Macaca fascicularis: one gene and its partners. The protein of the gene in region 1 interacts with the protein of each later gene in a biochemical or structural test. Links are inferred from orthologs where the notes say so. Each region holds a gene or a part of one and is shown on either strand. Other genes may lie near its edges. The genes, in order: PPARG, CDC34, HDAC4, NCOA4, NEDD4, TRIM24 and NR0B1.

The links.
Region 2: the proteins of PPARG (region 1) and CDC34 form a complex in vitro, tested with the Homo sapiens proteins (2 studies listed by BioGRID). The link is inferred for Macaca fascicularis from reciprocal best matches to the Homo sapiens genes PPARG and CDC34.
Region 3: the proteins of PPARG (region 1) and HDAC4 form a complex in vitro, tested with the Homo sapiens proteins (2 studies listed by BioGRID). The link is inferred for Macaca fascicularis from reciprocal best matches to the Homo sapiens genes PPARG and HDAC4.
Region 4: the proteins of PPARG (region 1) and NCOA4 form a complex in vitro, tested with the Homo sapiens proteins (2 studies listed by BioGRID, with this or other methods). The link is inferred for Macaca fascicularis from reciprocal best matches to the Homo sapiens genes PPARG and NCOA4.
Region 5: of the proteins of PPARG (region 1) and NEDD4, one has a biochemical effect on the other in vitro, tested with the Homo sapiens proteins (2 studies listed by BioGRID). The link is inferred for Macaca fascicularis from reciprocal best matches to the Homo sapiens genes PPARG and NEDD4.
Region 6: the proteins of PPARG (region 1) and TRIM24 interact in a test that uses a peptide from one of them, tested with the Homo sapiens proteins (2 studies listed by BioGRID). The link is inferred for Macaca fascicularis from reciprocal best matches to the Homo sapiens genes PPARG and TRIM24.
Region 7: the proteins of PPARG (region 1) and NR0B1 form a complex in vitro, tested with the Homo sapiens proteins (2 studies listed by BioGRID, with this or other methods). The link is inferred for Macaca fascicularis from reciprocal best matches to the Homo sapiens genes PPARG and NR0B1.

What each region holds. Positions count from the first base shown.
Region 1 is NC_088376.1:150,693,837-150,697,336, reverse strand, and holds part of PPARG (peroxisome proliferator-activated receptor gamma), read right to left. Parts: intron 1,103-3,500; coding exon 652-1,102; intron 1-651. UniProt on the Homo sapiens protein: Nuclear receptor that binds peroxisome proliferators such as hypolipidemic drugs and fatty acids.
Region 2 is NC_088393.1:1,084,598-1,088,671, forward strand, and holds the start of CDC34 (ubiquitin-conjugating enzyme E2 R1), read left to right. Parts: upstream 1-1,274; 5' UTR 1,275-1,446; coding exon 1,447-1,623; intron 1,624-4,074. UniProt on the Homo sapiens protein: E2 ubiquitin-conjugating enzyme that accepts ubiquitin from an E1 ubiquitin-activating protein, and catalyzes its covalent attachment to other proteins by an E3 ubiquitin-protein ligase complex. In vitro catalyzes 'Lys-48'-linked polyubiquitination.
Region 3 is NC_088386.1:135,018,947-135,022,446, forward strand, and holds part of HDAC4 (histone deacetylase 4), read right to left. Parts: intron 2,810-3,500; coding exon 2,623-2,809; intron 1-2,622. UniProt on the Homo sapiens protein: Responsible for the deacetylation of lysine residues on the N-terminal part of the core histones (H2A, H2B, H3 and H4).
Region 4 is NC_088383.1:59,187,097-59,190,596, reverse strand, and holds part of NCOA4 (nuclear receptor coactivator 4), read left to right. Parts: intron 1-391; exon of another isoform or gene 392-580; intron 581-3,188; 5' UTR 3,189-3,202; coding exon 3,203-3,343; intron 3,344-3,500. UniProt on the Homo sapiens protein: Cargo receptor for the autophagic turnover of the iron-binding ferritin complex, playing a central role in iron homeostasis. Acts as an adapter for delivery of ferritin to lysosomes and autophagic degradation of ferritin, a process named ferritinophagy.
Region 5 is NC_088381.1:32,286,887-32,290,386, reverse strand, and holds part of NEDD4 (E3 ubiquitin-protein ligase NEDD4), read left to right. Parts: intron 1-983; coding exon 984-1,043; intron 1,044-1,125; coding exon 1,126-1,233; intron 1,234-2,170; coding exon 2,171-2,267; intron 2,268-3,500. UniProt on the Homo sapiens protein: E3 ubiquitin-protein ligase which accepts ubiquitin from an E2 ubiquitin-conjugating enzyme in the form of a thioester and then directly transfers the ubiquitin to targeted substrates. Specifically ubiquitinates 'Lys-63' in target proteins.
Region 6 is NC_088377.1:180,136,853-180,140,996, forward strand, and holds the start of TRIM24 (transcription intermediary factor 1-alpha), read left to right. Parts: upstream 1-1,344; 5' UTR 1,345-1,634; coding exon 1,635-1,998; intron 1,999-2,133; exon of another isoform or gene 2,134-2,378; intron 2,379-4,144. UniProt on the Homo sapiens protein: Transcriptional coactivator that interacts with numerous nuclear receptors and coactivators and modulates the transcription of target genes.
Region 7 is NC_088395.1:30,316,413-30,320,402, reverse strand, and holds the start of NR0B1 (nuclear receptor subfamily 0 group B member 1), read left to right. Parts: upstream 1-1,190; 5' UTR 1,191-1,217; coding exon 1,218-2,385; intron 2,386-3,990. UniProt on the Homo sapiens protein: Nuclear receptor that lacks a DNA-binding domain and acts as a corepressor that inhibits the transcriptional activity of other nuclear receptors through heterodimeric interactions.

The DNA of each region.
Region 1 (3,500 bases):
TACTTGCAGGGCCAAAAATACAACAAATTGCTAAATAACTAAATTTATTTCTATGTTGTGTGTTCGGTTCAGATTGCATTCTTAATCACAACCAACTACCTCACAAAGGTATTTTGAAGGGAAGCCATCAGAGGAATCCACACAAGAGAGTGGGTGGAGGTCAGTAGGTATGCCTTAATTCCTGATATCACGAAAGCAATTCAAAGTAGTATCTTACTGTTGGAAGGGCAGGAGCATGATTTGACCAGAAACACTTAGTAGTTCCTTCTCTACGTCAAGTAAGCATTGTCTTAAGCAAAGTTATACATGCCATTACTTACAGGAACCAAAGATTAGATTGGCCTCTAATCTTCCTTTCTGGAAAGGAAAGAAAGAGAGAAAGAAAAGAAAAAGAAGAGGGCATTTGATTGGAAAAACTATATTGTTGAGGGAAGAAAGAGAAGATCCTGGGTTACTCATAACTTTCATACTGCAAACTTATGATACTCTTTCTTGGTACAGTGTTTTGCACGTGTAGAGGTGATTCATGGCATTATGCCATTGGCACTTAAAGCGACAAAGAACGCAGACTAATAAGGAAATCCAAAATTCTTTTGGCCATCCCACCATCATCCCACCCTCTTTCATAGAGGATCAAAAGACAAATCTTACCTCCACTGAGAATAATGACAGCAATAAATATTGCCAAGTCGCTGTCATCTAATTCCAGTGCATTGAACTTCACAGCAAACTCAAACTTGGGCTCCATAAAGTCACCAAAAGGCTTTCGCAGGCTTTTTAGAAATTCCCTTGTCATGAAGCCTTGGCCCTCGGATATGAGAACCCCATCTTTATTCATCAAGGAGGCCAGCATTGTATAAATGATCTCATGGACTCCATATTTGAGGAGAGTTACTTGGTCGTTCAAGTCAAGATTTACGAAACCAGGAATGCTTTTGGCATACTCTGTGATCTCCTGCACAGCCTCCACGGAGCGAAACTGGCAGCCCTGAAAGATGCGGATGGCCACCTCTTTGCTCTGCTCCTGCAGCGGGGTGATGTGTTTGAACTTGATTTTATCTTCTCCCATCATTAAGGAATTCATGTCATAGATAACGAATGGCTGCAAATAAAACAGGGAAAACATGGGTGACTTGGAGATTTCTAACTTAGTGAATGCCATCCCAGTTCAGAAAACTGTTTCTTTATGTAAACTTGCTTTGCTAACTAAAATCTTTAAAGCTGAAGATGCTTAATAATGAGAAAATACTCTCAAGTTCTTTTATTCATCTTAATTATCTTCTGGGACCAAACAAATTTCACCAATTTTGGTCTTCTTTCCCTTTAATTTACACTGTAACACTTTACCTATGACTGGCTAAGAATCCCAATTTCTTTTGTTTGGGGAGTCTTCACTGTTGATTTTTATATTTATTTATTTATTTTGTTTGTTTTTGAGACAGAGTCTTGCTCTGCTGCCCAGCCTGAATTACAGTGGCACAATCAGGGTTCACCGCAACCTCCACCTCCCAGGTTTAAACAATTCTCATGCCTCAGCCTCCTGGGTAGCTGGGATTACAGGCACACACTTTCACGCTCGGCTGGTTTTTGTATTTTTAGTAGAGACAGGTTTTTACCATGTTGGCCAGGCTGGTCTTGAACTCCTGGCCTCAAGTGATCTGCCCGCCTTGGCCTCCCAAAGTGCTGGGATTCCAGGCGTGAGTCACCATGCCCAGCCAATTGTTGATTTTTAAAATGATACAAAATCTACTGTTTATCTTGGCTTTCAATGAAATACACTTTTAACCTTCTTTCAATAAAAAATCATTTCAGCAACTCAGGGTTGAAAATACCCACTTGAACATAAAGCAACTTTAGAGGCTTAAAACAATTTTTTTTTCTTAAACTTTTTTTTTCCTTTTCCTTTGTTCTCCTTCACGAGTAATAACTTTTCAGTTTTAGATGAAATCCTCTCAGATCGCAAATGAAACTATGTGCACATAAAATATGCTTAACTATTAAAAAATCACTCTGAAAGCAGATTAGAGCTATTGAACCAAGAAAATGTCTATTTCTTTTTTTAATGCTCTGGAAGCCATCTATTTCACAAAGAGCAGATATAGAAGGCCTATAGGTGAATGCTGCAAAAAACAGTTTTGAATTTACATTTTAAAATATCTGTCCTTACAGGTCAATCAATAAAATACATGCCCCAGTTATTTAAGTTTGCAATAGGCTGCTTTCAAAAGTTAAGTCATTTGGTCATGACATTATCTCTCTCTCACTTCCCTTGTATAGAACTAACCAAAGTCTGTAGTCATTGAGAAATTCTCAAGGCTGCTCTAAGGGGCAACATTTTACTTACACCGGATACACTGAAAGACACATAAGGAGTTAAACCTTGAATCCTGTTCAAATACTTGTATACCTGAAAGCACTGGAAGAAGAGCTGAGGGTATCTGCATTCTAGCTTTGGTTCTGTGGTGAACTATGCGACTTAAGAAAAGTCATTTACCTTTCCTAGGCCTTAAATTTCTCAATCAGGGGTTTCCACCTCTTCTCCAGAGGAAATTCTAGTTGTATTTCTCAGAAGCAGGATGTGTGTGGGGAGTGGGCATGTGTGTGGAGAGCTGTGAGTGTGCATGCACAACAAACATGAAGTCTCTGATAGACTAAAAGTAAACACTGTTTTGAGCAGAGATGTTGAGAATTCTCTCCTGAATGGGCACAGAGAAGGTGCATGAGTGGCCGTGGCAGCTGGCTTCAAGATGCACCGGTTGGAGATTCTATTCATATCTATGGAACTCTATGATTTTCATCAAAAGATTAAGTTTGTTCTATACTGGAGGAAGTAACACCAACATTAAGGACTCTCAGATGTTAAATATATTTCCAAACTTGTACGTCACGTCAACACCCTTTACTGGAGTTATTCTGGAAGTTTTTACTTTTGTTACAAAAAAATTCACTTCAACTGTACTACTTACCAAACTCCAAAAGGGGACAGATGTGAGGACCCCAGAACAGGTTTACCTGGTGGCTCTAATTTTTCAAGGGACCAAACTGTCCGTACCGTATTTCTTAAACATTTCGCTTGGGTGGTTTTTTTCCTTTTTCTTTTCTTCTTTTCAGGATTAATATTATTAATGGGAGAAATAAAAGGGGGGCAGAGCAAGTAACATCAATGAAAATTTACTGTATTTTTCCAGAATGTCAGGTTCTAATTATGAGAAAAATTTGAATGGATAATGATGCTGTCACAGAACCTAGAGAAAACGTGTTTCTTTGTTCTACAGGCATTTTATAGTGTATTATAATATATATTAATGAAATACTGACTTTCTTTTTCTAAAAAAAAATTATTTCATTTTTTGAGATGAGGTCTTGCTATGTTGCCCGGGCTGGTCTTGAACTCCTGGGCTCAAGCAATCGTCCTGCTTTGGCCTCCCTAAATGCGTGCTAGGGTTACAGGTGTGAGCCACCACAACTAGCCTTTATTGGCTTTCTTTAATGTCATGAGA
Region 2 (4,074 bases), on another chromosome or scaffold:
GGTCAGAAGTCAGGTGGGGTCAAGACTCTGGGGGGCCGGGCACGGTGGCTCATGCCTGTAATCCCAGCACTTTGGGAGGCCGAGGCAGACGGATCACTTTGTTACTCCAAACTGCACCCTCCCCTTCCTTCCAAAACCTAACACACTTAAGGTCAGGAGTTCGAGACCAGCCTGGCCAACATGGTGAAACCCCATCTCTACTAAAAAGACACAATTAGCCGGGTGTGGTGGCGCACACCTGGAATCTCAGCTACTCGGGAGGCTGAGGCAGGAGGCTCCCTTGAACCCTGGAGGTGGAGGCTGCAGTGAGATTGTGCCACTGCGCTCCAGCCTGGGCGACAGGGCGAGACTGTCTCAAAAAAAAGACTTGGGTGGGACAGAGGTCAGGCTGGGAGGAGGGCACAGCCAGGCTCAGGCTCAGCTTGGGGTGGGGGCTCCGTGGGGCTGGCGCCTCTCCCGGGTCAGGTGCTGAGCCGATGCTGGCTGGGGGGAGCCTCTTTCCCAGTTTCTCTGGGGGGCAGGAGCACCTTGCCAACCTCTGATGGCTCCAGCACCTGCACCCGCCTCACACCACATGGTGACTTCAACGGGGGACCAGGAAAGCCCTCGCCCCCTCCCGCCCTCAGAGCCCTCCCCGACCTCGCCCACTTCTCAGAGCTCCCGCTGTCGGGGGAACCGAGGCAGCGCCGCGCCTGGAAGCCGGGTCTGCACACCCCGCCTCGCTCCCGCTCCTCCCCTCCGCGAGGCCAGCGCGCCCCAGGACAGACTCAGCGCCCGTCCCCTGTATAGACGGGGAAACGGAGGCGCGGACGCGGGGTCGCGCCGGGGGAACCGGCCCTGCCCCTCCGGCCCCGGTCAGGACCTCGCCCCGCGCCCCGTTCACCGCCCGCAGCCCCGCCCCACGCCGGGACGTCACAAAACGACCCCAAAGCTGGGGGACCGGGCCAGCCACGGCCAGAGCAGCCCTGCCCGCCTCCGTGCGCACAGCGTCCGCGGTACTGGTCGAGCTGGGGGCGACGGCGGCGGCCTCGGGGATCGGAAGCGCCCAGGGTTGCGCGCTCGAACCCTCCCTCCCGGCGGCGGCGCTCGGCGCGGTAGGCGGAACCGGGACCGGGACTCCACTTCCCGGCGTGCCCCGCGGGCGGGCGCGCAGGCGCAGGTCGGGCCTGGCCGCGGCGCGCAGGCGCAGTCGGGGCCGGGCGGAGCGCGCAGGCGCAGCGGGGGGCGGGGCGCGCGGGCCGGGCCAAGGCGAGCGCTGGTGGGGCGGCGGCGCCAGAGCTGGTGGAGCGCTCGGGGTCCCCGGGCGGCGGCGGCGGCGCAGAGGAGGAGGCAGGCGGCGGCCCCGGCGGCTCCCCCCCGGACGGCGCGCGGCCCGGCCCGTCTCGCGAGCTCGCGGTGGTCGCGCGGCCCCGCGCGGCGCCGACCCCGGGCCCCTCCGCCGCCGCCATGGCCCGGCCGCTAGTGCCCAGCTCGCAGAAGGCGCTGCTGCTGGAGCTCAAGGGGCTGCAGGAAGAGCCGGTCGAGGGCTTCCGCGTGACCCTGGTGGACGAGGGCGACCTGTACAACTGGGAGGTGGCCATCTTCGGACCCCCCAACACCTACTACGAGGGCGGCTACTTCAAGGTGAGCGCGGCGACCCCCGCCCGGGTCCCTGAGCCCACGAGCGACCTCGGGCGCCAGGAACCAGCTCCCTGCCCCGCGGTCCCCGGGCGGGCCCGGCAGCCTCCTGGCTTGGGCTCGCTTCCCTTCTATGGCCGGGTCTCCCCACCCAGCTGTGCCCGGCCCCCTCCTCGGACGGTCCCGGGGACCTTCAGCCTCTGCTGCGGTCCCCGAGAATTCTCAGTTTCCTTGAAGGCACCGTCCGGTCCCCGGGTAGTCTCCTGGCCCGCAGAAGGGTGGCCCGGGGCCCTCCCGGTATCATCTGCGCGTGGGGCTCTTGCCCACCTCCTTCCTGGGGGGGGCTCGACCCCGGCTGCCTCCCCCTCCGCCCTTGCGAGAAAGAGGGAGCGGAGCCCAGGCCGCCCCGGCCTTTCTGCTGCCCTCCCCGCCCTCCCCGGAGGAGACAAAGAGGCCCCCCCCAGACCCCGCAGCTGCTATTGTTGGGGAGCTGGGCCTGTGAGCGGGGGAGCGAGGCCAGCCTGGGGGTGGCTGGCGCGGCCACTCGCTCAGGCTCCAACAAAGGCCCGGATGAGCCTTGGCAGCCGGGCCCTGCCTGGAAAGCGGCCACCCTTGCCGATAGCAGCCGGCCAGGCGCCCTGGGCTCCATCCCCGGGTTTATGTAACCTGCGCCCTCGGGAAGGCTGAGGCAGGGGCGTCCCTCCCACCTGCTCCCTGCAGCTCTCCCCGGGCCCCCGGCTCCGGCCCGCGTCCCGGACCCCGACCTCAGAAGCTCCGGGCTGCTTCATCCCAGCTGGCCTTGGCCTTTCTCAGATTCCACTGAACAGGTGGCTTCCTGTGACCCCAACCCCGAGTTCTGGGCCATTCCTTCTGCCCTCTGGCGGTTTCATTCCAAGCAGGTTCTTGATGTTTTTGTTGCCGTTGGGAGCAGGGAGACTGTTTCTGTCCAGTGTGGAAAGGACTCAGGCCAAAGCCTGGCCAGTTTTCTTGATCTCACGATCCAGACGTGACCTTTGGCTCTTGTAGAGTTCCAGGACCTCGTCCTTGGGGCCAGAGGGACAAAGTGAGGGGCCCCGTGTGAGAGGTGGGGATCGCGCACCCTGTCCAGGAATCCCCCCTCCCGCTGTCGCTGCCTGCCAAGAGCCTGGGCACAGCCGGGCCTGCTCTGCCCCGGCCAGCTGCGGGCATGGGGCCGAGGGACCGATGCCTCTCAGAGCGTGTGCTCTCCGGGCTAATTAATGTCTGAACCGCGCGCGCTCAGCGGCTGTGAGGGCAGCAGCCTGGTCTGCTGGGGGCGATTCCTGAGCTGAGGTTCTGGGTTACGGCAGAGGGTGGGACGTCCGTGGGTTGTGCATCTGGAATCGTGGGTCCCCACACAGGGAACAGAGTTTGAGCCTTGAGGTTGTCAAATGGTTTTAGCAGCCCCCTCCCCCAGCCCCTTTTTTCTGCTTGGGGGAGCAGCTGGCTGTGAGCAGGGGCGGCCCCACCTCGAGGCCAGGCCTGTGAGGCGGCTGCTGTTCTGGAAGGAAGGGATGCGGGTTCCTGGCTCCTGCCCACCAGACCGGTTGCCAGGGATTGTGGGCAGAGCCTCCTGGACCAGCATTAGGGGATAATCCGGTTTTCCGGATTTCCTGGGGAGGGGGCCTCTAGACATCTGCCGCAGGGTCAGTCCTCAGAGGCCAGCGTTGAGACGCGGGGGGGTGCTGCCACCCACCGGGGCTCTCCCTTCCCCGTGTGCCTGGGAGGGAGTTGGGGGAGCGTGGAAATACAGGAGCTGCTGAGTGCCCAGGGCCACCGCTGCTGCCCAGCCACTGCCTGCAGCCGCTGTTCCTTCAGGAGCCAGAGCGAGCCCTGGGGCAGGGGCCACCAGAGAGAGCCCTCCACGGCGGACTTGCCGTGTGCCATCGGCGGGGGCTTTGCTTCTCGGAGCCTGGGTTTGCTCCGGGTAAAAGACATGTTTGGAGGTGCTGAAAATAAGAGGTTTGTTGGGACTTGGTGGGGTTCGGTGCAGGTGAGGCCGCCTGGAAACCCAGCACCAGGCTTGGGGGGCCCGGAGTCTTGGGGAACTGCTGGGCAGTTCTGAGCCTGAAGTTCCAGCCTTGCTCTGTGGCTGTGGCCAAGTCCCTTACCTCATGGGGCCCCAGTGAGTTCCCTGTCAAACAGAGGACACCCCCAAGACCCCTGAGAGCCCTCCCTGTCCAGGAAGGACCTCGCCAACAACTGCTCTTTGGGGGTGCTGCCCTCAGCCTCTTGGAGTGCTGAGTGCCACCAGGACCCCTGACCCAGACACCCCCGTGCCTGGCACTGGGGCCCAGGAAGGAAACAGTGAGGCTTCCTTGTTTACCTGTTGGGGCCCAGGAGGGCCGTGGGTGGCGTCACGCCCCAGGCCGCAGGCCAGACAGCTCTGTCACCGGGCACGTGGCTGCAGTCCTTCCTCTGTGGCCGTCCTTGCCAGCA
Region 3 (3,500 bases), on another chromosome or scaffold:
AGCTCTACCACGGCCCCTTTTCACAAGGCCTGGTGACATCTGGCAGGAGGGCTGCCCCGAGGCCCTGCTGGGATGTGTCTGTGCCTCACACACCTGGTCTCCCAGGACTTAACAAAGGGAAGGCCAGGCTGGGTGAATGGATGCCTTCAGCAGGCAGGTCACTACCCAGGGGCACCTATGCTAATGTGGGTTCACCCAGGTGGATAAGGGCGGGGCACTTGGTGAAGAGCCTGGGCAAGCTGCCCAGACGGACCCGCTCTAGCGCTTCAGTGTGCTGGCCCAGGATGCGGTCCTCCCCACATATGTTCCCATTACTGGGAACAGAGGCAGCATCCCCAGCCAAGGGGAGCTGAGATTCAAGGTGGTCCAGTGTTTGCAGGGTCCAGCTACAGGATACTCTTGGTGCATATTAGTTGCCATACTTCCTGGCTCAGCCTCTTGTGAGTCAGACTAACAGGAGTCAGTCTCCTGCACTTGAGGAATTTTGGGGATACTTGCAAAACAGTGCTGGGGGACAGGACTTCTGATTAAAAAAAAAAAAAAGCAACAGGGTAGGTGCAGGCTTACAGGAGTCAACGAATCTAGGACTCACAATCAGTACACTGTGTGTGGGCATGGGTGTGCTCGGGAGTTTGTAATGGCAACACAGACACATAGGCAATGACGGACACGGTGCCATCAAATACACAGGTGTGTGTGCAGAAACAACCAGTTGCTCATGGATACGAGGAATGGGGACGGCCCCTTTCAGTGGAATCATGATGATAAGGTCACATGTGCTAATATTACTAAGCACACGGCTGGAACCTATGAGGCAGACACCCGCTTTACTGCCTTTAGAGACAGAAAAGCTGGAGCGCAGAGAGATGGAGAAGCGGTAAAACCCACACAGCTGAGGGTGGCAGAGCCAGCCAGGAGACTACGTGGCTAAAGGAACGTGCTGCGTCGCTGTGCACGGACACAGGAAGATGGCTGAGAGTGTGAGGTACTAACAGAAAGCATCAGACACAACAGAGTCCCGTCTCTGTGAAACAAATTATGTTTGTGTCTATCTGTCCATCTGGCTATGCACAGAAATAGATCTGGAAGATTTAAACCAAATACTAACAACCTGCCACCACTGGGGAGCGGGATTACGGGCAAATGGTATTTCCTGTGGGTTTCTATCATGTTTGTTTCTTTACAATGAACACATACTGTTTTATAAATTTGTTTAAAAAGTAATGAAGACAAACTAAGAAAGGACAACGACGAAGTGGGACTCCCTGGAATTCTCCTGGGACCAGTCACGGTGGGCCAGCTTAGTGGGCGAATTCCCGCCTTGGTGGCGGTGACTGGGGTCCCCCTTGTCTGAGCTGCATTCTTTCAAGAACACGCTTACTGCAGTCACCTGCCGAGGACTTGTGGAGTGTGGCGTGTGGCGTGTGGCGTGTGGAGTGTGGCGTGTGGAGTGTGGCGTGTGGCGTGTGGCGTGTGGAGTGTGGCGTGTGGCGTGTGGCGTGTGGCGTGTGGCGTGTGGCGTGTGGCGTGTGGAGTGTGGCGTGTGGAGTGTGGCGTGTGGAGTGTGGCGTGGGCCATCTGGCTGCCTCTGTGACCTTCCACAGTTTTCTTTCTGCTTTTCTTTCTGAGAAGCAGCATTTTACTTGCTGGATTACTACTATGGAAATTTTTCTCTGAATATGAATAGCATCCTTCTAAGACCTGAGAGTGAGAACTTTGCAGACTGCACAACACTAAGCCATGTGATGAGAATTATCTGAAGAATGAAGCCATGCTGTATTTACAGAACTTTTTTCTTAGTGCGTCATTAACAAGAAATATTAGATCAAAACAATATGAAGAGCTCTCCTGCCTCCGTGCTTGTCTCAGAGGCAAGCCCTGCCAGAAGCCAGCCCTCCTTCCCGCCTCCCCCCTGCAGGGGTGGCTGGGCGGCGGGGCGGCCCGGGACAGCAGTCTCCTCCCTGACTCCAGGCAGCTCCAGGCAGACGAGTCCAGGGCCCAGCCCCGCCTGCCTCCTCAGCCGTGGTGGACACCTCGCTTGCTTCCTGACTTCTGGTGGGGTACCGTGCAGGGAAAACCAAGGACCCCTGCCGGCAGGTCACCTCCCTGGGGTGAGGATGGTACGAGGGATGGCACAGACAGATGTGTGGCTCCCGCAGCATGTCCCAGGGGTCCCGGGCTCTGCTCTCGTGTAATCATGGCCCCCCACCAGCCATTCACAGTCCTGCCACTGGAGCCTCAGAGTCAACGCTGTGGACGTGGGTGAAGTATGAGAGAGTAAGTGGAGAAGTGTGGGCTCGTGATTCCTAAGCCGGACCAGAAGCTGTAGGCTCTCATGGCCCCACGGGCATGGGCTGTGGACTGTTCTTGGAGGAGACCATGGGTCTCTGGGACAGGAAAGGTGGGCAAGTGAGCCCATGACAGGCCCCCAGAATAACAGAACTGAGGGTGTAGGGCGTGGGGCAGGGAGAGGGCCTCCATGAGAGGCCTGTGTGGTTCCCGCCCTCGTGCCTGCCCAGCCCCTCAGCCTCTGCAGAGCTGGGCCCGGAGTACCCCCCGCCCCGGTCTGTGCCCACTGTGGCCCGCGTCACATCCTCAGGCTGCACAAAGGCCATCTGTTACCTGTCGTGAACCTCGGCTTGGTGGGGGGCTCCTGCACAGACACGGGAAAGGTGGCAGATGCCGGTGAGGACTGCGCCCGGGACAGAGGCCTGTGACTGCCGAAGGACACGGGGATGCCGGCAGCCTCCATGGACGCCTGGTAGTTCCTCAGCTGGTGGATCCGCTGCTGCTCCAGCAGGAGGGCTTGCTGCGGGGAAGAAACGGCCATGTTGGCGGCTGCAGGCACCTCCCACGGCTGGGCTGCAGGGCTAGGGGCTGCCCTCTCTTGCAAGTCTCCCATCCATGCACAGGCCATACACGGGCCACAAGGATGCTGGGAGGCCAGCTGCGTGGAGAGGCCTTCCCTGTGAGTGCCCTGAAGCCTGAGTGGGCCCAGAGCCGAGAATGAGGCCAGCACGGGCTCTGTCTCCCAGGATGTGGCTCTTTCTAGGGAAAGCAGGTTGTCCACATGGGATCCTGCCATGGGCTTCATCAACAGGATAACACAGGCTGAGTCACGGGGTCCCAGGGAGGCCTAGACAGTATGGGGTATCAACGAGGGCTTCTCTGAGGAGGTACTGAGCCAGGAGCAGCCTGGATCAGGTGCAGGGGAGTGGGGCCTGGCAGGTGTGGAGAGAGGCTCTTGCTGGGGCGGCAGCCTGGCCCTCGCTGGTTCCACTGGGAGATACGCGAAGGCCATGCAGATGTGGGGACCAGAGCACCCACTCTGCCACACCACACACGGGGACCAAAGCACTCACTCTGCCACACCACACACGTACAGTGGGTGGGCATGAAGCCTCGCCCCCTTGTTGGGTTTGTGGGTCTTAGTTTTGACCAACAGCACTGAATCTGCACACTAAACTTGGGTGAGAAAGCACCCTTGATTCTCAGACTTG
Region 4 (3,500 bases), on another chromosome or scaffold:
GCATCCTGGGACTTACCATAAAGAAATGAAACAGGTTTTCTTCGTGGCTGACAAATGAGTTCTCAAGATGACTTTTGAAGGATAACACTCCTTTTAATTTGAAAAAATGTGATAACTGTGTGTGGAAAAATCAGTTTTGTAACTTTTAAATCTCATCCTACATTCTGTCTATAGCTGATAAGGGGAAAGTCCAGTGTGTGAACTCTTGCTATATTCTACTCTTACTGTGTAATATTAATACTTGTGATTGAATTGAGAGTACTTGCTTTAGGAATCTAGTAGTACAGTCAGCACTGTATGTGTTTGAGTTTGTCTCCCGTATGTTCCGGAATTCTGGAGTTTTGACATTGTGAAGCAACAATTTTATTGATTAAATTTTACACTGTGCTAGGCATTGTGGCATTCCACACAAATGGTGAGGATCTAAGAGTGGGAAATTTGGCACAGGTGAAGAAGGCTGGGTAACACATTTGAAAGACTGCTAAACATGTCTTGCATGACTGACCTAAGTGCAAAGTGAAGCAGCCCGTCACACTCCAGCTCTCCAAATCGGAGTCAGCATTTCACCCGTGTGATGCAGGTATTTTTCATAGTCCCTGCAGTGAGTTCCAAGTGCACACTAACGCTTCTGCCTAACACAGGCAGCTTATGGCATGCAAAAGGAGGATGCAAGGTAACCACTGTTGGTGTGTCCAGGGTTGGAAAAATTTCCACAGGGATTTCTGTGAAGTCCAATTAAGGCAACCCTTTCTTTTTAAGAGATGATTATGGAAAAAGAGACTGATGAAACAAAATCAGCAAGGGGAAGTTTAAAAATTTCCTGAATTGTTGTTTCTTATAGAAACTCTAGTTCCTGAATCGGAGTCTTTTGCTGAGATAGTGGACAGAAAGTTTGTTTTGCTGCTCTTCCCACTTCTCTCAGAATACATTATTTCTGAGGGAGGAACTCACCACTTTTGTCTCTATCCAGCTTTCAGCTAGGCATCTGGCCCTAAACTTAGTCTTAAAGATGCAGTCAAGGCCTGGCAAAGTTCCTTTGTCTCAAATGGACAGTCAGCCACTTGGAGGACTCTGCCCTGGGTAGGCCACTTTTCACCCCAAAGCTGGCTTCTCCGAGAAAGTCATTGCTTTCAGGACAGTTAGGAAGTTATTTATTGCCTAACATGCCTCCTATTAACCTTTTTTACCCCCTTGTGTCTGTTCCAAACAAATTTAATTCTTCTAGTTGACAGGTCTCCACATACTTGAGAATGGTAATCATGTCCTCCTGGAGACGTCTCTTATCTAGGCTAAACAGCCTTCCTTCCTGGAGAAGTTTTTCATGGTTTTGAGGCCTCTTTCCCTTTTCTAAGTGTCCTCTTCTAAAGCGTGTTACTCAGAAATAAGTTTTGAATTTAGTCTAATAAACATGGAATAGGTTAATCCTGTGACAAACACTATACTTTTGGTAAATGTAGTCAAATAGTATGTGAGTTATTTTTTCCCACAGACCCAGCACACTGTGAATTCATAGAGAATTTACTTTCAGTTAAAGATGTCCACCCTTTAAAAACGGTGGAAAATATTCTTTTCCTTGCCCTCCCTGATTAAAGTGAAAAACTTACATTTTGTTTTGTAAGATTGAACAGCTGTGTAGAGATTGTTTTGGGAAATGCTTCTGTCACAGCCCCATGTTACCTCCAGCTTTAATGTTTGTCTTCTATGTTTTCATACAAGTAATTAGAAAAAACAGGGATGTGCCTCTAAAAACTTTACACACTGGCCTTAGTCTGTCATCCTTTGAGTATTTTGTAAAAAATAATCTTATTATTCAGTTTAATTGTGCTTCTCTTTAGCTGATATTCACTTTGTCCACAGTGATATCATACAGTTTTGCCACAAGTCTTCTGTCATTCCTTGGTGTCTACAGCATTACCTTTACTTGCTGGTTTAGTAAAACAATCCAAAAGGAAATAACTGGTATCACAGGGCTTAGTGAACCTATTCTGAGCTCTAGTAATCACTGCTGTCATTTTCTCAGTGTTTAAAAATCATGTCATTGTTCTTCCAGTAGCTTTTGTCAAGTTTTACTTCATGGCTTTACTGACACTCTTGTGTTGCAGTCTCATTTTATCATTAATGCTGTTCTTCCCGTTTCTGTTTCCTATCGCTCCTAAACCCAAGCTTTTTAGAGAACTCTGTATTTACCAATTTCTGTTTCTCCTTTATATGAGAATCATATGAAATCATTTTGTCACATATAATCTGTTATATATAATGCACATTCTTTTATATATTATATATTACATATATTCTCTATATAAAAAACATGTATCTGTATATCTGTTGTATTCTTTTTTGTTGTTTTGAGACAGAGTTTCACCCTCTTACCCAGGCTAGAGTGCAGTGGTGTGATCACAGCTCACTGTAGCTGCGACCTCCTGGGCTCAGGTGATCTTCCCACCTCAGCCTGCCAAGTAGCTGGGACTACAGGTGCACACCACCACATGTGGCTAATTTTTGTATTTTGTAGAGACGAGGTCTTGCTATTTTGCCGCGGCTGGTCCAGAACTCGTGGGATCAAGTGATCCACCCACCTTGGCCTCCCAAAGTACTAGAATTACAGGTGTGAGCCACCGTGCCCGGCCCTGTGTTATATTTTTGAGAGCTTCCTAGCTATGAAGTAATTCTTAAGTTCTTCCTAAATAAAAAAAAAAGTTCTACCGTAAAGGGGGAAATTAAAAATTCCGTCTTCTAAACAGTATTCTAAACTTGATTGTTTGCAGCTTATTTTCAAAGTAATAAGCTGTACCTTTTAGTCTTCATCTCTAAATCTACAAAGAGGAACACATACCTCATATGACTATATGTGTGTTATAAATAGAAAATTATATTTTAATGTTCTTTTAACTTTTCAGGACACTGTATGCTCTGTTGATTCAGGACAATTAGTGTATTTTTCCAGAAATAGCTATTCACATGTAAAGTGTTACTAAAGTAGATTTTAGAGTTTTATGGCAGGAACAGTGGTAGAGGGAAGGGAGGAGACAATATTTATTAAGAGTATCTTATGTGCTAGCTCCAGTGTTGGAAAGTAATCTAAGTAGTTAGTAATGGGAGTTGGCTGGAATGATCATTTGAGGGATGATTGAAAGGTGGTTTTTGGTTGTAATTATGGTGCTATTTATATATATTTTTTTCTTTTAAAGGAGCAGTGAGGAGAATGAATACCTTCCAAGACCAGAGTGGCAGCTCCAGTAATAGAGAACCCCTGTTGAGGTGTAGTGATGCACGGAGGGACTTGGAGCTTGCTATTGGTGGAGTTCTCCGGGCTGAACAGCAAATTAAAGATAACTTGCGAGAGGTGTGACATGTGCTTTTCTCTTCTCTTGTCTGGACTCTTGGCACAGGGCTGGTTAGAGCATGGCCAAGGACTTGGTTTCTCTGTGCCAACAAAAAATTTCACCCCATGCCTTGCGTGGTCTACTTGGTCCCAGTCAGTTGCCTGATACACTGGTGCC
Region 5 (3,500 bases), on another chromosome or scaffold:
CCGTCTTTGACTTTTTCCAGAACAATTTCAAGGAAGCTGTAGTATAGAAGTCCGATTGCAGTGGGTTGAGTGTTAGATGGGAGGTGAGTGAATGGATATGCTAAGTGCATAACACTGTCAAGAACTTGCCTGTGAAGGGAAAAAGAGGGTCATTAGTTTTGTTTTTGTTTTTTTGTTTGTTTGTTTGCTTTAAAGGTAGATATGACTTGAGCAAATTTAAATGCATACAGAGTGAGCCAATAAAGAGAAAGAGATCTAGTGAGATGACCTCCCTGCGGAGCAGGTGAAGCACAGGTGCAGGCCTAGCCTGAAAGAAGAGGTGGCACTTCTGTCTTCCACTGCGGCGGGAAGGAGGCCATGATGGGTGTTGGTGATGGTTGGGACACAGGGATGCAGAAGCTTGAGGGAGTTCCATCATGCATAATTGCCTCTGTTTTCCCTCAAATAGAACTTACACTTACCTACGGTAAAGAAGGGGTGATGTGGAGGCTTGAGAAGGATGGCAAATTTGTTTTTTGTTGTTGTTCTTGTTGTTTTGAGACAGGATCTCACTTTGTCGCCAAGACTGGAATACCTCAGCCTCCCCAGTAGCTGGGACTACAGGTTTACACCACCATGCCTGGCTAATTTTTGTATTTTTTTGTGGAGACGGTGTTTCACCATGTTTCCCAGGCTAGTCTCAAATTCCTTGAGTCAAGCAGTCCGCCCACCTCAGCCTCCCAAAGTGCTGGGATTACAGGCATGAGCCACCGCACCTGGCCACAGGAAGTTTTAAAAATAGCCACTTTGAGGAATAAATGAGAGAACAGACTGTGCACATGTACATTTTCTGGCCAATATTGAGATCTCAGTGAAGAGCCCGTGATTGTGTAGCGGTAGAAACTTGTGTGTCTGTGGGATTCCTCCAGTGGCACCCGGAAGCTGAAGCATAGGAAAGGCCATTGGCCCTGCCCATCAGGTTTTTAAATACATCTTTTTTCTAGGGATTCTTTGAACTAATACCACAGGATCTCATCAAAATTTTTGATGAAAATGAACTAGAGGTAAGACATAACATTTTATGTTGAAACAGAAAATTTTGAACCCATTATTTTCCTTGTTTATAATTTGACATTTCTTACGTAGCTTCTTATGTGTGGACTGGGAGATGTCGATGTGAATGACTGGAGGGAACATACAAAGTATAAAAATGGCTACAGTGCAAATCATCAGGTTATACAGTGGTTTTGGAAGGTAATTTGAAACTTCTCTTTTCGTAAATTACTTTTTGATAGATTGAATCATATTTAAGTCAACTCTTGATTAACTATACTGGTGGATTACATTTAACTGACACAGAAAAATATAGAGACCAGCAAAAATGATCTTTGATTTTGTACCGTATACATGCACCTTCTGGGTCTATAACCATTACTAGGTAAGTAAAATGTTCAGAAGGTAGTAAGTGGAATGACAGGCTGAGACAGGCACTTAGTTTTCTACTAAAGTAGGGACTCTGAAAGAACTTGTAATAACCTACAGGGTATTCCTAGGGACTCCTGAGTGGCTCTTTTAAAATGTCTCATAGAGAAATGTGTATGCCATTCAATAATATTAATATAATGTGTTTTTTGAGATGGAGTCTCGCTCTGTCTCCCAGGCTGGAGTGCAATGGTGCTATCTCAGCTCACTGCCACCTCCGCCTCCCATGTTCAAGCAATTCTCTTGCCTCAGCTTCCCGAGTAGTTGGGATTACAAGCATGCACCACCATGCCTGGTTAATTTTTTTGTATTTTTAGTAGAGACGGGTTTCACCATATTGGCCAGGCTGGTCTCAAACTCCTGACCTCAAGTGATCCGCCCACCTCAGCCTCCCAAAGTGCTGGGATTATAGGCATGAGCCACTGCGCCCAGCATATAAGTTTTAAAAGTCATGAGTCATATCTCAAGAGAAATTTTGTTACTTCATTAGGTTATAATCCCATTCTAAAAAGTTGCCATGTAGCCTTACAAATAAAGTTTTCAAGAACTTTATAACCCACCCATAAATAAAAATTTAACTAAAAGAAACATCCACATCTAGTAAGGGATTGTTACTATTCTAGCTAAATTCTGATAGCTTATGTTTCAGGATAATTTGTTTACCTTTTTCCCAGTGCTGTTCCCTAAATGATGTTTTTATCTTATTCAGGCTGTTTTAATGATGGATTCAGAAAAAAGAATAAGATTACTTCAGTTTGTCACTGGCACATCTCGGGTGCCTATGAATGGATTTGCTGAACTATATGGTAAGGATTTTCCATAGATCATTAAAAAAAATGGAGTGATGCCTATTGTCTTTTTCATGGCTGATGAATCCTCACGCTTCCATCATTTACTAACATTTAGCTTAATTTTAAAAAGAATTAAGATTTTGAAAGTGATATCATTAGAGACACTAGAGTAGGCTAAAATATATTTGCACCTTCGAATCAGATAATAAAGGGGAAAACTGGAAACATCAAATGACTTACGAGTCACTTTCCCTTCTTTAACTTCAGATTCTATGCCCCGTGTGCGTCAGTTACAGAAAAAGCATTACCTTGGCCGGGAGGGGTGGCTCACACCTGTAATCCTAGCACTTTGGGAGGCCGAGGCAGGCAGATCACTTGAGGTCAGGAGTTCAAGACGAGCCTGGCCAACACAGTGAAACCCCATCTCTACCCAAAAATACAAATATTAGCTGAGCTTGGTGGTGTGCACCTGTAGTCCCAGCTACTCGGGAGGCTGAGGCAGGAGAATTGCTTGAACCCGGGAGGCGGAGGTTGCAGTGAGCCGAGATTGCACCACTGTAGTTCAGCCTGGGTGACAGACTGAGACCCTGTCTCAAAAAAATGAAAAAGCATTACTTCTCATGTGATAGTTCAGGATAGCATTTGAAGTTTCACAGAATGTCACTAAGTGTATTCAAGTTGAATACCTTTAGGGAAATGCTGGACTAAACAAAGTTAAATGGATTTCTTCAGGACTTGTGTAGAACCTTTACTGTTAGAAGAAAACAAAAGCATTGTTTCCCAAACTTATTTGATCATGAAATCTTTTTTTTTTTTTTTTTCCTTTCAAGATAGGGGTAGAGAATCTCGTTAGGCTACTATTTTTCATTTCCTGGGGGGAGCACCGGGACTGGGGAGAAGAGTGCCCATATCTCTTGATTTTTAGAATAGTTAATGCAGTTTTCAGTAAAGTAAGATTCTGTGTATTCTATCAAATTATTTTTCAGTTGATGTACAAAACTGGAGGTGTGTTTTGTTTAAAAGTGCCGTTTCTGATGTAGATTGCAGCAACTTTTCTCACATTGATTCATATTCTGTTTATTGGAATGATATTTACTTGCTTTTAAGGATACCAAGAATCCAAGAATAAATCTTTTAGAAAGGATGTAGCTGAAGTGGGAACCCTACTCAGAACAACGAGTAAGATTAGGATTGTCCTGGGGATTAGAAGTCGGGACTGCTGCCTAGGAAATCGCTAAGCTGAATTTG
Region 6 (4,144 bases), on another chromosome or scaffold:
CTAAGGTTTAAGAGCTACTTCCATGCAAAAAACAAAACAAAACAAAAAACCCCCAAGCTTAAACAGCAACCAATGGGGGTGGGAGGGGTGGCGGGAAGAGCCGTTGAATTTCATGTGATTAAGTAAAAGAATTTCTCACTTGAGGCCTGCGGAGATTGTGTTTAAGGGCAAGGTCTCGAAGGACGGCTACGTTGCCTAGCCCTCCCCCATTGTCATCCTATGTAGTCCTCCAGGAAAATTGTGATTTTAGCAAAGTCTTTCATGACCCACTCCATCTTTCTCTAAAGTCCAGTACCGCTTCATTCGTATTGAAAAAAAAAAAAACAAACTTATATACACTTCTTAAAGTTACGTGTTTACAAAAGCTTGTTTCCTCCACTCCGTTTCTATTCTTCAAGTTCCTTAAAAGCTGCGCCATTTTTTGAGTGAAAAATGTGCTTAACTTCTGATATCAGCATAGAGAGGTGAGGGAGGGAGGGAATAAAATAAGAGGGAGGGAAGAAATAAAAAAGAATCTTGAAGTTATGAATTATTTGGGGATCAGTATTGAGGCTTATTTTTACTTAATGATGCTATATTTATGCAATAAAAACATTAGCCAATCTGTATTAATTCCTGGGAAAACGAACCTTTAGTCACTTTAAAAAGCACATCACTGACTTTGAAAATTAACTTCACCTTTTTCATTGGGGAACCCTTTAAAAATTTCCAACTTGCACAAGAACTTCCCTCCCTTATTCTTCATACTCAGTCATTCATTCTAAAGATGAGTAAAATTAGGTTGCAATATCCATGCTGCCTCCAGAGTACCTCTTTCACACAGTATTTTTAGAAAATTATTTCCTTGTTTGCTCTTCAGTACCTCCACTCCTTCCTCCTGTGACCCTCCTACCATATTTACCCCTCCTACAAGACCAGGTCTCCAGTAATGAAACGAGTTTTCCAAGCAGTTACTTAATTAACGGCATAGAGTAGACAAGTGAGGTCCCGCCCCCTAGGAGGAGCTAACACCCCGGACCGAATCAGGCGGATGGTCGATAACAAATGAACCCTCAATCTTTTCAGAGGAGAAAACACACACAAAGGCCCAATCAGAGACCGCGGCTCCAGGAGTCCAGAGGGGGCGGGGCTGGACAAGCACCACCCACTTCCCAACCTCCCGCCGCGGCCGACAGAGCCTCGCGGGCTCCGACAGGTCCCGCCCCCTCGCCAGGCGCGGCTGCTATTGGGCGGCGGGCTCCTCGCCGAAGCCTCAGTTGCTGGGAGAGGGAGGGCGGGGGCGGGGCCTGAGGTGGGCTTGGGGAGCGATGAAGAGAAAGGCGGGGAGGTAAGGGCGGGCTGGGCGTATTCGACGAGCGCAGCGGCGGTTGGCGTAGCGGACGGGGTGCAGCCTCCCCGGTGTGAGGAACGGTCTCCGCTGACAGATCCCCTTCTTCCGGCCGCGCCACTCGGGAGGCGGATCCCCTGGGCCTGAGGAGGCTTCCCCCGCCCGGCTTGCTTTCCCTCCCTCCCTGGCGCTGCCGCGAGTCCACCGAGCGGCCTCTGAGGAGCAGCCGCAGGAGGAGGAGGAGGTCGTCGGGGGCGGCGGGCGAAGACCGCGCTCTCGCTTCCCCGGCGGCGGCGGGGGCAGGACAATGGAGGTGGCTGTGGAGAAGGCGGCGGCGGCGGCGGCAGCGGCCTCGGCGGCGGCCTCCGGGGGGCCCTCGGCGGCGCCGAGCGGGGAGAACGAGGCCGAGAGTCGGCAGGGCCCGGACTCGGAGCGCGGCGGCGAGGCGGCCCGGCTCAACCTGTTGGACACTTGCGCCGTGTGCCACCAGAACATCCAGAGCCGGGCGCCCAAGCTGCTGCCCTGCCTGCACTCTTTCTGCCAGCGCTGCCTACCCGCGCCCCAGCGCTACCTCATGCTGCCCGCGCCCATGCTGGGCTCAGCCGAGACCCCGCCGCCCGTCCCTGCCCCCGGCTCGCCGGTCAGCGGCTCGTCGCCGTTCGCCACCCAAGGTGAGAACCGGCTGCGGCCGCGGGGGAGCCCGGGGAGAGGGCCGGGAGGGGGCGGGCGCCCTTGTGCAGCGCGACCCGCTGTCATGTCGCCGCCGCCCGGGGTGCGCGGCGGGGGAGGGGCGAGCAGGAGGGTCTGTGCTGGCGACGGTGACATGGAGGGCCCGCGCTCTGCGGCGTGCTGCGCTCGGCCAGCAACTTCCCCGGGCGCTGTGGACTTGACCGCGCCGCCGCCGCTCCGCGTTCTCTACAGCCGGGCGGCCCCTGCCAGCCGCACTTTTGCAGACCTCTGCGGAGTCTCCTGCAGCCGGAATCTCGGGTTCTTTGCCGCCTGCATCCAGTTAACTGCTACCCGCCCGCTGCCTCCACAAAGCTTTGTCCAGGTCCATATGATCCTGATCATCTCGTCTATACCCACGTTATTTGAGCTGGAGGGGAGAAGGGAGGGATGAAGATGAAGTGATGGTGACTTTCTTTCATGACTGATTGCAGATCGGATGTCATTTATTTCTTATTTTGCATGTTTGGGGCTCTTTACCTTAATGAGTTCCCAGTTCTTTTCCCTCTCCTCTGCTAGGGACAAAGGAACCAAGAGACGTTGTTTTGTTGTGTGTCTCTTTCAAGGGTTTTATTTTGAGACGGTGAAGAGAAATAATGCAAAGTGATTTGGGGTGCAGGGTTTCCTGGTATTTTATAGATAAAGCTAGAAGTTACTCTTCTCTTTGTGGTGTTTATTACTGTAGAATTAGACTTTTGACAGGTGTTCCCATTGCTCACTTTAACAGGTTTGAAACATTTAAAGTAAGTTTAAGTGGATACGGTTTTGGGTAGAACACTTGGCAGTTTTTAAATTTTATTGCAAATATTTGAGCACCTCTTTTTAAAAAAATACAGTGTAACTGGAAGAGCATTTTTAATACTTTTTAGAGGGAATAGTTGATTTAGTTTGAAATAAAACGCTAATTTTACGCTACGTTAAGGAAGTGTGAAATGGATACTTTAGATTGTGGTCCGAGACTCATTTATTTAACTGCATGTTAGGCCCAGTATCCACTTGTAGGAGACAGTTTTCCATGCGTGTCCGTTTCTTCACTCTTGCCAGCACCCTTGCCAGGAAGATACTGACTGCCCTTTGTTTCTGTTTTTCACGGATATTATCTAAAGAGCAGCCTTCGATAGTGTCTTCCACCAGAGCAAGAGGCAGGGATACGTATTATCCAGTATAATAAGAAGAATGTCTCCCTCTGGAGCGAAAGGGTAGGCATGCTTACTGCCCATCTTAAAAGATTAGGGTTCCCTAAGCTTAGGGTTCCTCTCCTGTAGAGAAGGAACTGCCTGTGTAGATGTCAGCTGGCTCTCTTCACGTTGACCAGTGGGAACCTGGAGTTCCGAGAACTAGTGCAAAAATCTTGATGCTTTGGCTTATGCTGTTCCTGTGAGTAAAAAACAAACTGCCCTGTGTCTCTGACCCTTGAGTGTCTTCTATCACCATCCGTGAAACTGGTAAGGTTGTTAGCTTGCAAGTTGAACAAACTCTCAGATCCTTCACACTAGTTTGCTCTGAAGAGGCCCACTACTGGAAAGTTCGAACAGGTGAAAGCTTAAACCTTAGTTCTTGTTTCTTTGTTTATTTTGAGACGGAGTGTCGCTCTTGTTGCCCAGGCTCAAGTGCAATGGTGCGATCTTGGCTCACCGCAACCTCTGCCTCCCGGGTTCAAGCGATTGCCCTGCCTCAGCCTCCCGAGTAGCTGGGATTACAGGCATGCGCCACCACGCCCGGCTAATTTCGTATTTTTTTTTTTTTTTGGTAGAGATGGAGTTACTCCATGTTGGTCAGGCTGGTCTCGAACTCCGGACTTGAGGTGATCCGCCCACCTTGGCTTCCCAAAGTGCTGGGATTACAAGTGTGAGCCACCGTATCCCGCCTGTTCTTATTTCTTAGACGCATTTTAAGGTTGGTTTTTCCTTCCTCCCTGCCTACCTTCCTACCTTCCTACCTCGCTTTGTCCTTCAGGCTGGAATGCAGTAGCACGATCTCAGCTCACTGCAACCTCCGCCTCCCGGGTTCAAGCAATTCTTGTGCCTCAGCCGGGCGCCACACCCGGCTAATTTGTATGTGTGTTTTTTTTTAGTAGCGATGGAGTTTTGC
Region 7 (3,990 bases), on another chromosome or scaffold:
GTGGGGAAAGAAATGCTAATTACACACTTACCAATGGAATACTTTTACAAGGATCAAAATTTCTCGCTGCAGCCATGAAAAAGAATGAGAGCTGGCGGCCATTATCCTTAGCGAAATAACGCGGAAACAGAAAACCAAATTATCACATGTTCTCACTTGTAAGTGGGAGCTAAATAAAGAGATCACATGGACACTAGGAGGGGAACAACAGACACTGGAACCTACTTGAAGGTGGAGGGTGGGAAGAGGGAGAGAATGAGAAAAAATACCTATTGGATACTATATTACCTGGGTGACGAAATAATCTGTACACCAAACCCCCGCGACAAGCAATTGACTTATATAACAACCCTGACATATACTCCTGAACCTAAAAGTTAAAAGAAAAAAAAAAAAAAACCATATACTAAAATGAAAACGATTCTCACTGTAACAATATTATCCCCTCGTGATTATTATATTCCTAAGTTTTAGGCACTTTTACAACCTGCTCGCTGCCCCCAGCTCTCTTAACACAGCATCCAGGACATAGTGGGCGCTTATAAATACTGATGGAATTAAACTGAGCGCTTATGCTAGCATATTTAGACCAGTGCTTTTCAAACGTCAAGGTGCATGTGAATCCCTGGGGACACCGTTAAAATGCAGATTCAGAGTTAGAAAGTCTGGTTGGAGCCTGACATTGGGCATTTCCACCGAGTTCCCATATGATGTTTGTCTATGTTCTGTATTTTTCAAGGTCTCAGAAAATGAGACCTCCCTATCCATATACAAATATGAGTCTCACAAACTGTGAAAATTTAATGAAAGTTTACAAAGAGCATAGAAGTAGATGTTTCCTCTTTTCCCCTACCCTCCCAATAAAGGGAACAAATTAGATGCGAGGTTCAATGGAAAGAGTTGCAACAGCATCCAGGCGCTCGCTCTCCTCCGGTCTTCCTGAGAGACAGGGAAAGGGGTAATGAGAGGAAGGAGGGAAGTGTCCAGGAGCTCCCACGCTGCTGTTCCTCTTCCATTTTCAGCTTTTAAAGAACACCCGCCCCTTCGAACCACCGAGGTCATGGGCGAATACACCGGAGCGCAGCACCGCGCCCCCCCTGCCCGCCTCCGCGCCCTTGCCCAGACCGAGGCGGCCGACGCGCCTGCGTGCGCGCTAGGTATAAATAGGTCCCAGGAGGCAGCCACTGGGCAGAACCGGGCTGCAGGAGCCGCGGGCCATGGCGGGCGAGAACCACCAGTGGCAGGGCAGCATCCTCTACAACATGCTTATGAGCGCGAAGCAAACGCGCGCGGCTCCTGAGGCTCCAGAGACGCGGCTGGTGGATCAGTGCTGGGGCTGTTCGTGCGGCGATGAGCCCGGGGTGGGCAGAGAGGGGCTGCTGGGCGGGCGGAACGTGTCGCTCCTGTACCGCTGCTGCTTTTGCGGTAAAGACCACCCACGGCAGGGCAGCATCCTCTACAGCATGCTCACGAGCGCAAAGCAAACGTACGCGGCACCGAAGGCGCCCGAGGCGACGCTGGGTCCGTGCTGGGGCTGTTCGTGCGGCTCTGATCCCGGGGTGGGCAGAGCGGGGCTTCCGGGTGGGCGGCCCGTGGCACTCCTGTACCGCTGCTGCTTTTGTGGTGAAGACCACCCGCGGCAGGGCAGCATCCTCTACAGCTTGCTCACTAGCGCAAAGCAAACGCACGTGGCTCCGGCAGCGCCCGAGGCACGGCCAGTGGGCGCGTGGTGGGACCGCTCCTACTTCGCGCAGAGGCCAGGGGGTAGAGAGGCGCTACCAGGCGGGCGGGTCATGGGGCTTCTGTACCGCTGCTGCTTTTGCGGTGAAGACCACCCGCAGCAGGGCAGCACCCTCTACTGCATGCCCACGAGCACAAATCAAGTGCAGGCGGCTCCGGAGGAGCGGCCGAGGGCCCCCTGGTGGGACACCTCCTCTGGTGCGCTGCGGCCAGTGGCGCTCAAGAGTCCACAGGTGGTCTGCGAGGCAGCCTCAGCTGGCCTGTTGAAGACGCTGCGCTTTGTCAAGTACTTGCCCTGCTTCCAGGTGCTGCCCCTGGACCAGCAGCTGGTGCTGGTGCGCAACTGCTGGGCGTCCCTGCTCATGCTTGAGCTGGCCCAGGACCACTTGCAGTTCGAGACTGTAGAAGTCTCGGAGCCCAGCATGCTGCAGAAGATCCTCACCACCAGGCGGCGGGAGACCGGGGGCGACGAGCCACTGCCCGTGTCCACGCTGCAGCCCCATTTGGCACCGCCGGCGGAGGCCAGGAAGGTGCCCTCCGCCTCCCAGGTCCAAGCCATCAAGTGCTTTCTTTCCAAGTGCTGGAGTCTGAACATCAGTACCAAGGAGTACGCCTACCTCAAGGGGACCGTGCTCTTTAACCCGGGTAAGGGTACTGGCCTTGGGCGCCGGCTTTTCCCAGCTCACAAAAGCATCAGGCAGTGCCTATCTAGGGGCGCGGGCAGTAAGGAGTTTTCAGTGATCAGGAGAGTGTCGGGACAAAGGTGAAGAAATCATGACTAACTCAGCAGAGTTGGGGTGGGGGGCTCCAGGAACCACTTCTCCTGAGTGGGCTGCTGTCAGAAACTCAGCCAAGAGGAGGGGAGTTGTTTGTTTAGGTTTGTACTTAGCTCTTTACACGTTTCTTACTACAGAAAAGTTTGTGCCTTCATGGGAAATGGTTATTCTTTCTTTAGCTTTCTTTGAAGTCCAGAGCATATCTTTTTCTAAAAAAAGTTTTTGCTCACTGAAGATTCTGCGACATCGATTTCTGAAACTCCATTCTGAAATTTACTAGAACCTTTTTTTGGGGGGAGGAGATCTATTAGGGCTAGCAAAAAAGGAAACATTTGTTAAAGGGTCCCATAGAGAGACTATTCCCTAGGGACACTGTCAGACAGTACACTGGATGTAGTGTTTCATAGGCCTGCCTCTGAATGGTTATTTGTATGGTCCTAAGCATCTGGACTATCCCTTCCTCCAAATCTCTGTGAAGAATATCAGGTTGGCAAAGGGATAAGAAAAAAAAAAAAAAAAAAGTCACTTTAGGGACTGAGAGCAGGAACACTGTATTTTAGAATTCAAAGAGACTTTAGAGACCTCCTAATCAACCCCCTTTGCTCTGTAACCTTCCCCCACCGCATTTTACTGTGTAGGTGGATGTGTCCCAAGGTCCCAAGTGACCTTACTCCAAAGTAAATGGCTGGTGTGTTGTGGCACCTGAGGGTCCTATCTTCTGGGCCCTGTGGGATGTCGGCTGCACCAAACTTTCAGGTTGTCTGTTGGGTGCAGGACACACTGTCCCACAGGGTGCAACCAAATCACTGGGGGAACATCTCCCTGGACAGCCAGGCACCTTGTCTTGGGTGTTTCTCTCTACTAGAATCATCTTCAACCAGCGTCCTTTTGAAATGATTGAAGTGGAAAAAAATTTTCCAGGCAACTTGAGTTGGGATAGTTTCCATAATGCTCCTTTTGTATCTTTTCCCTGGTGCTGGAATCTCTGATTATGTCCTGGCCCCCTGCCTAGCATTTTTGAGAGTGCATAATATATATAAATATATTTAATATATATATTTAATATATTTAAATTTATTATATGGGATATACAAAAGACAAACAGCAAAGAGAGGCCACAGTCTCAATAGGCGTTACCTTTCTCCCCAATATAGGTACATTTGAGTTTCAAACACACTCAGCTTAGCTGGTTAAACTCATACTGAGAAAGGATTAGGAAAAGTCAATCAAGAACAAGGAAGAAGTGTGCGTGTGTGTGTCTGTGTGTGTGTGTGTGTGTTAAAAGTATATAAAACAGGGTCAAGGGAAAGAGGGAAACTATTGATACTGAAACTAATGGAATGTAAATTTCTGGAAGGTGAGCCCCTTTCACCTTTATATCCCAACAGGACAAGGAACGTAGTGGATGATTAATAATACTAGCTGAAGGAATAAGAAGACTGTTTTCCAAATTATCTTGAGAATCATCTGTGAC